Linked DNA regions of Macaca mulatta. The protein of the gene in region 2 purifies or fractionates together with the protein of the main gene of each other region. This does not show direct contact. Links are inferred from orthologs where the notes say so. Each region holds a gene or a part of one and is shown on either strand. Other genes may lie near its edges.

Region 1 (3,649 bases), on a different chromosome or scaffold from region 2:
TTTGAAGGATCTACCTCAGTTCTCACAACCATTTGTGAAAACAAGCAAAAAAACTCTCAATCATTCCTACACTGTTTAACAGATATTTTCTGAGTACCTACTACGTGGCCAGCCCCTTGAGATGTTGGTGGCTGATAGTGAAGCACTTGTAGCCATGACACTTGCCATATGTGGGCATTCAAATGATCCTAATCCTCTGCCTTCAGAGAAGGAGAAGGTCTGGCCTTTGTTCCATTCTCATATACAATCTCTTGTCTGAGTACCAAGTTACTATGGTGATGGATTCTTGGAAGGGCAGACACAGACAGATGGATAGGTTGATGTGTTTTGCCCAAACATGCAGATACTTCAGCAACTGGATGCTCTGGAAATGCTGAAGCAGCAGAGAATGCGCTATCCTTCAATGAGGGCTTTCGGTTGAGAGCTCCAACAGGGAGACATTTGTTCTGCAATGTGTCCAGAGGTGGCAACGGTTACCATATAGAAGTGTAAATCAGATGCTATGGAACATGAAACACCCAACTTCAATTAGAAGGCTAAATAGGCAGCAAAACAGAAAAATCAGGTTCCCCAGTCAGAGAGGTACTGGTCCAATTCTGGCTCTCCTGCTGACTAGATTTGTGACTTGGCATGGCACATTTAGCCTCTTCATCCTTGCACAGCTGTTGGCAATATTCAAGGTTACATAGGTTAAGTGCTCAGCCAGGGCCTGACACAGAGAGGGAAGTCAACTTAAAAAAAATATGATTAATAACATCAGCGAAAGTTCTATACTTGCTTTGGCTCCAACTTCAGATGCCGTTGTATGTTTTGTGCAGCCCATTTTACCAACAGAAATCTTGAGGAGCAGAAGTCACCCATTTATCTGAGCCAGAAATAGAAGCTGAGTTTCTATTCTCAGTAGAGGTGAGACCATGCCTCACACTGTGTGGCAGTCCTCCCTTATTGTCCTCATGGCACCCTGGCTCACATTACCTCCCTGCCACTTCCTAGCTATGAAACTTCAGGCAAATTTCTTCACCTCTTTACCCTTCAGTTTTCTCATCTGCAAAATGGGAATCATAATGATGGTAGCTATACCATAGGGCTGTTGTGAGGATTAAATGAGAAGATACACTGCAGTGCACAGCACTTTGCTCAGTAACCACAGAGGCTTGGAGAGGAGGCAGCACCTCTTAAGGGCCTGTAGCAAGTGAGTGTGGCCCAGGAGGGTGTGACTCCAAAGCCAATGGTCTTTCCATGCTCCATAGTCTTTCACCACCAAACAATCACATCCCCAGGATGAAGTCATCTATCTTGGGACCTACAGATGGGAAGGGCTTGGTAGCCTTCCTGAAATGTATGTCTTGGCAGTGACTTCTCCTGCTCCTTCTAGAAGGTGACAGTCTGTGTTGCCTACCTTTCTGGGCTTCCTCAAAGCGATCGTTCTCTGCTAGCCACTGAGCATACGGAACGTAGATGTCATCCTTAAACTCAGGATGCTTCTCACCCAAAGCAAAGGCCTGGGGGAAGGAGCAAATGAAGTCTTAATAAAACTGCCCCTGCAGCCCCCATGAAAACACTGCACTTGGCTGAATTCATTAGGGATGTCATATTTTGCCAGCCTGACGACTCAGAGAGGGAGAGTGCCTCCCCCAAAAACTACCCACAGAAACGCAAAAACAAATCAGCTCTTCGAAAACAAAAGGCAATTAACAGCAATATGCAAGCGACTGGATTCAGTAACAACACAGTCTGTTTCTGGACCACAGAAGCGGCACAGAATCGGAAACATTTTATTTTGAGGGTTTGCGTGGGCTCCTGTAGTGCTGCAAACAGATTTCTTTTAATTGCAGGCGATACCTAAGGAAACAGAATTGACATTATCATCATTACCACTTCTTATCAGTTGTCAAAGATGACTGTGGGCCTTGAGCTGTATGGACCCACTGACTACTTCTCACCTAAGCCCCAGAATCACCTGTCAGGCCAGGAGAACTGGACATGAGCCATGGGGAGAAAGTCTGCCTGATGCACAGCGAGGTCTGAGTCATTCTAAGATGCTCTAATCTACGCTGCTTGAGAAATCTAATAAATTTCTCTTGAGAAGCCACCATTGCCTCTGTCCCTAGCCCCACCTTTTCTCATGAGTGACCTCAACACCTCACCAAATGGAGCCATCCAGAGAGCAGACAACAGTCAGATGGCTCCTCTCAGTGAAGGCTTTGCTTTCACTCTAAAATGGACCATGACGGGTGGGTGGGTGAGTCGGGGGAGGATCTTGGCACAGCTCCTAATCCTCTCGGGGATGGATTTCTCTGAAGGGCACAGGGAGCCGGTGAGCTGGAGGGTGGGGGTTGGCCACAGAAGGGGCAGCATTAGCTGCTTCTGCCAGCCATGGCCACTTTTCTCACTGGCCTGGCTAATTCTTTACAGCCCCCAACACCAGAGAGAGAAGCAGTGGTTGTGGGGTGGGGGCAGAGAAGGGAGGGAAAAAACTGGCCCCTGAAATGACTCTCGCAGTCTGGATCTGGAAAGCACAGATGGTGCTTTCTGCCAAAATGTTGCCCAGCAGGTTTTAAATGTCACGCAGGTGCATCTTCACATCAGCCACGTGTCTGAGCCTGTGGTGCTGGTCAGAGGCAGCTCAGCCCAATGGCAGGCACTGGAGCTGTTGTGTTCACACTCACATCCCCGGTGCCTGTCACCACCCTGGCACAGAGCTGGCTGTCAGTAACGATTTTCTCAATGACTGAATGAACGGACAAGTGGAAAGGCGCTCCACTTCGAGGTTAAGTTGCTCAGAGAATTCGAGGTTCAGAGAATTCGAGGTTAAGTTGCCTGACTGCCAGCCCAATGTTCCTTTCATCACGAGGGCAACTTCTCTCCATTTGAACCCCAAAGGGCCCCTGTACCCACCCGTGTCCCAGGGCTCAGGTGGGGCCCCAGCCCACGAGGCCTGCTTTCCCCTCACCTCATCCCAGCGCTGGGTCTCCACGTGCAGCTGCACCAGGGACTTGAGGTCACCCATCTTCAGGTAGGTCTCGGCAGCATAGCCAGGGCTGTCCAGCTTCTTGAGGTAGGTAGCACACAGCAGCAGCGGCTCGCGCTCAGCCTTGTCCAGCTTGCGGGCGATGTCGATCAACCTGGAGAGGAAAGGGGCAGGTAGGAGGGGGGGCTCTGGGTCTTGTCAAGGGCAGGCCGTATGTCCATTCACCCTGCAGTCCCCAATGTTGATACCGTGCCATGGCCCCTGCGAGCTGCTCAGTGGTTAGTTATTAAATGCATGAATACACACTCCAGAAACATCACCAGGGACCGGGAGAGGTGGCCTTTACAGGATCCCATCAGCCACCTCGTGTATCTTTCTCAGAAGTCACTGAGCTATCCAGCAGGGCATAGAAACAATTATCTCCTAATCCCCTACCAGTACCCAGATAATGCCATGAGCTTTCCCATGCATGAAATCAGAATCTTCACCACCCTAAGAGGTGGGCACTATTATTTCCATCTCTCAGATGAGAATAAAGTCTGGGGGGAAGGTGAAGCACCCAGCCCAAGACTCAGCAGCCAGGAAGTAGCCCAGTGCTCTTTCCACCACAGGTGCAGGAATTCTCACAGAAAAGTGGAGGCCAAGGCATAAGAATACCTCATTGACTGCCCTCTAAAG
Region 2 (3,931 bases):
AAAGGGAGCAGAGAAGGCCAGGGGCTTTTGCTAAAAATAGTGAGTGGCCAGACCAGAGCTCTGGAGCCACCCGTCCCACTTCAAACAGGTCTGGGGGTCAAGAGGCAGGGTTTTATCTCTGTCTACCATCTCCCTCGAACCCACACTGCAACAGGAACTGAGAGAGCCTTTGTAAGTAAACTGCCCTGTCTAGGTCAGTACCCACCTGAGCTTTGGACGCACACAGCTTCTAGTGATTTCTGGGGCCCCACTGTAAGGTGAGCATGCTTTCTGAACTCGCTTCTTCGTGACTGATGTCAGGCTGGGCCCAGCGGCACAGCCAGGGCCTGCCTAGCACTCACATGTGGGACAGGTCTGGGAGAGGCAGAGTGCCCCACCTGCCACTAGGCTCGGTGCTCACAGCCTACCTGTGGCAGCTTGCTGCACCCCAAGTCCAGGTCGGGCTCAGCTCTGGCTCACAGACTATGGAGACAAAGCAGATGCCAGAGCAAAGGGCCAGAAAGGGTCAAAACATTTTATTCTCTTCTTTTTTTTTTTCTTTTTTAATAAAGTTAAACAGTAAAACAAAAATTCACAAGCTGCCTCCCTGTCCACCCCCGCCTCCCTCCCCTGCCCGCGGTCTTCGGCATTGGTTCCCTTTGCTCCACCCCACTCACAGAGACACAGGGCATCCAACTGAGAAAACGAAACTGCTCTAAGTACATGGAGACGTGATGAAGGGAGGAGGTGAACTGTTTCCACATTCAAGATTAAACTGAGTGAATCTGCATTTTCTGGGTTCTGGGTGGTTGCCCTTCATTAGCCAAATTGAAAAAAGAAACTCCCTGGACCAGATGCTGAAAGAGAAAAGAAGGGCTTGGTAGTTGGCTCTGGATTTTCTAGGGAAGATCACTTTGCTCTGATTATGGAAAAGTTTTCAAGGGCTGCTTCAAACTCAAACGCAGACAGAAACTCTATGGGTATCAAACAGCTCAGGCTGTTTTGGGGTGCAAGAAGGAGCAGGTGACCGTATTATACGTAGGCAGCTTCTAAACACCTTTGCTCTTGTAGAGAAGCCTCGGCAGTAGGCAGTCAGAGATGCCCCCTGACCCTGCAGAGATGCAGTGGCTAAAGGTCCCAAGGCAAGGGGTGCCTTCCTGTCTTCATCCTTAGCAACAGCCGAGTGGATAGATGCCATGCTAGATGAGAACTCAGCCGCCCCCTCTCATGGCCCCGCTGACTCCCGAAGAGCTGCCGAAGTGGCAGTGAGTGTGTTGGCCTGTGATCTGGGAACTCCCAGCAACAGCAGGCCCACCTACCTTCAAAGCTGAAGCCTCCAGGACCGCCGAAGAAAGCCTTGAAGATATTGTTTGGATCAAAATCTGTAGAGCAAGGCAAGTAACATGGAAGGGAAGAAAAGGTGAAAAATTAGAAATGTTTGAAGAGAACTGATGACACTGAGAACAGATCTCCAAAGCTTTCCTGGAGAGTCTCACTCCCTCCTTTCCCAACACTTCAGACTGCAGGTGAGCCAACCTGCCCCACCCCGTGCAAAACATGCTACCTGATCCCACTCCTAGGACATGTTCCCTTCTCCTTCCAAGTGCTGCCCCAAAGGAAAGCTTTCTCCGCTTCAGCGTGCTTCGCTGGGCTGTTTTCTCAACAAATGGAATGCTATTTGCACTTACACAAGACTTTCCCCATACTCTGTCTCCCTATAATGCTGGAGCGGCTACTAAAAAGGATAAAATGTGTCACTTAAATGTTACCAAAAATAAATATAAGAACAAGATCTAGGATTTACCGTATTTGATTCCATGTCTTTTACTCTGTAGACTCTAGGCTAGAAAAAAAGCTATGGTTTATTAGCTGGGCATGGTGGCTCACACTTACAATCCCAGCGCTTTGGGAGTCTGAGGTGGGAGGATTGCTTGAGCCCAGGAGTTCGAGGCTGCAGTAAGCTATGATCACAACACTGCACCCCAGCCTGGGTGACAGAGCGAGACCTTGTTTCAATAACAACAACAACAAACCAACAAAAACACCTACTAGGTGCAAGGTACTGGGTACTTTGCATACATTACATTAGTTAATCCTAGTAATGATTTGTCAGGGTAAGTATCATTCCCAACTAATACTCAACAAAACATGTGTAGGTAGTTCAAGGAACTTGCCCATGATCACATGGCAGCGAAAGCAGCAGAACTGGAAAATCCAACTCCTGCCTGACTGACTGTGCACTTTTGCGAGGCCACAGCATGTCTGATGGCCCCATCCCTGACTGACTTCCCAAGCTACACAGAAGGACTGATCCCCACCAGGTGATCCCACAGCCACCTTGTGCCCAGAGTGAGTTTCTCTGCTTGCATCTGCGTATCTTCCTGGGCCTCCCCTGCTTAGTGAATGACCCCAAGAGTCAGCTATGGCTGTCACTCTCCCCAACACATCTGAATAGCAACCAACTCCTGCTGAGTCTACCACTAACTCCCGACTGTGCCCTCCAATCCTTTCCTACCTTTTGTCTTCCTTCCATCTCCATCCTCCTTACTCCCTCCAACCACCACCTCCTCACCTCTATCACAAATATATTTCCAGAGCCAAAATCTGGTCCACAGTGCCCCTACTTAAAACTCCTCACGGCCGGGCGCGGTGGCTCACACCTGTAATCCCAACACTTTGGAAGTCCAAGGCGGGCGGATCACGAAGTCAGGAGATTGAGATCATCCTGGCTAACAAAGTGAAACCCTGTCTCTACTAAAACCCCAAAAATTAGCCAGGCATGGTGGCGGGCGCCTATAGTCCCAGCTACTCAGGAGGCTGAAGCAGGAGAATGGCGTGAACCTAGGAAGCAGAGCTTGCAGTGAGCCGAGATCGTGCCACTGCACTCCAGCCCGTGCAACAGAGCGAGACTCCGTCTCAAAACAAAACAAAAACTCTTCACTAGCTTTTGACTGCTTATAGCTCTTCTTAACTGCTGGGCAGAGGAACATGTTTATTATGGTGAACCTAGGTTTATTAAACACAAATCCCCCCACACTGAACTGGAGAGGACTCAGTATTATCTATATAGTACCATCATTTTTATTTTAAATTCTGGCTGGGTGCGGTGGCTCACACCTGTCATCCCAACACTTTGGGAGGCCAAGGTGGGCGGATCACATGAGGTCAGGAGTTTGAGACCAGCCTGGCCAATGTGGTGAAACCCTGTCTCTACTAAAAATATAAAAATTAGCCGGGTGTGGTGGCAGGTGCCTGTAATCCCAGCTACTCAGGAGGCTGAGGTAGGAGAATTTCTTGAACCCGGGAGGTGGAGATTGCTGTGAGCTGAGATTGCACCACTGTACTCCAGCCTGGGCGACAGAGTGAGACCCTGTCTCAAAAACATAAAAAAAATAAACAAATAAATAAATTGCAATAGAAGGCCAGGCACAGTGGCTCACGCCTGTAATCCCAGCACTTTGGGAGGCCAAGGCCAGCAGATCACTTGTGGTCAGGAGTTCAAGACCAGCCTGGCCAACATGGTGAAACCCCGTCTCTACTAAAAATACAAAAATTAGCTAGGCATGGGGGTGGGTGTCTGTAATCCCATCTACTCAGGAGGCTGAGGCAGGAGAACTGCTTGAACCCGGGAGGCAAAGGTTGCAGTGAACCGAGATTTTCTTAGTGGAAGAGATGGTAGGTCTGTGCACCGTTCACGGGTCAGGGCCTCTCTTTTTTGAGACGAGTCTTGCTCTGTTGCCAGGCTGGAGTGCAATGGCGCAATCTCGGCTCACTGTAGCCTCCACCTCCCGGGTTCAAGCGATTCTCCTGCCTCAGCCTCCCAAGTAGCTAGGACTACAGGCGTGCGACACCATGCCCAGCTAATTTTTTTATTTTTAGTAGAGATGGGGTTTCACCATGTTGGGCAGGTTGGTCTTGACCTTGTGATCTGCCTGCCTTGTTCTTCCAAACT

What was found. Proteins that work in one complex are often made in the same cells at the same time.
Region 1: the proteins of DNAJC7 (region 2) and IFT122 purify together in Homo sapiens (co-immunoprecipitation; 3 studies listed by BioGRID and IntAct, counting the BioPlex papers as one, with this or other methods). This does not show direct contact. The link is inferred for Macaca mulatta from reciprocal best matches to the Homo sapiens genes DNAJC7 and IFT122.

Annotation. Positions count from the first base shown.
Region 1 is NC_133407.1:154,425,211-154,428,859, forward strand, and holds part of IFT122 (intraflagellar transport protein 122 homolog), read right to left. Parts: intron 3,126-3,649; coding exon 2,954-3,125; intron 1,503-2,953; coding exon 1,400-1,502; intron 1-1,399. UniProt on the Homo sapiens protein: As a component of the IFT complex A (IFT-A), a complex required for retrograde ciliary transport and entry into cilia of G protein-coupled receptors (GPCRs), it is required in ciliogenesis and ciliary protein trafficking.
Region 2 is NC_133421.1:66,317,669-66,321,599, forward strand, and holds the end of DNAJC7 (dnaJ homolog subfamily C member 7), read right to left. Parts: intron 2,640-3,931; exon of another isoform or gene 1,362-2,639; coding exon 1,299-1,361; exon of another isoform or gene 837-1,298; coding exon 799-836; 3' UTR 582-798; downstream 1-581. UniProt on the Homo sapiens protein: Acts as a co-chaperone regulating the molecular chaperones HSP70 and HSP90 in folding of steroid receptors, such as the glucocorticoid receptor and the progesterone receptor.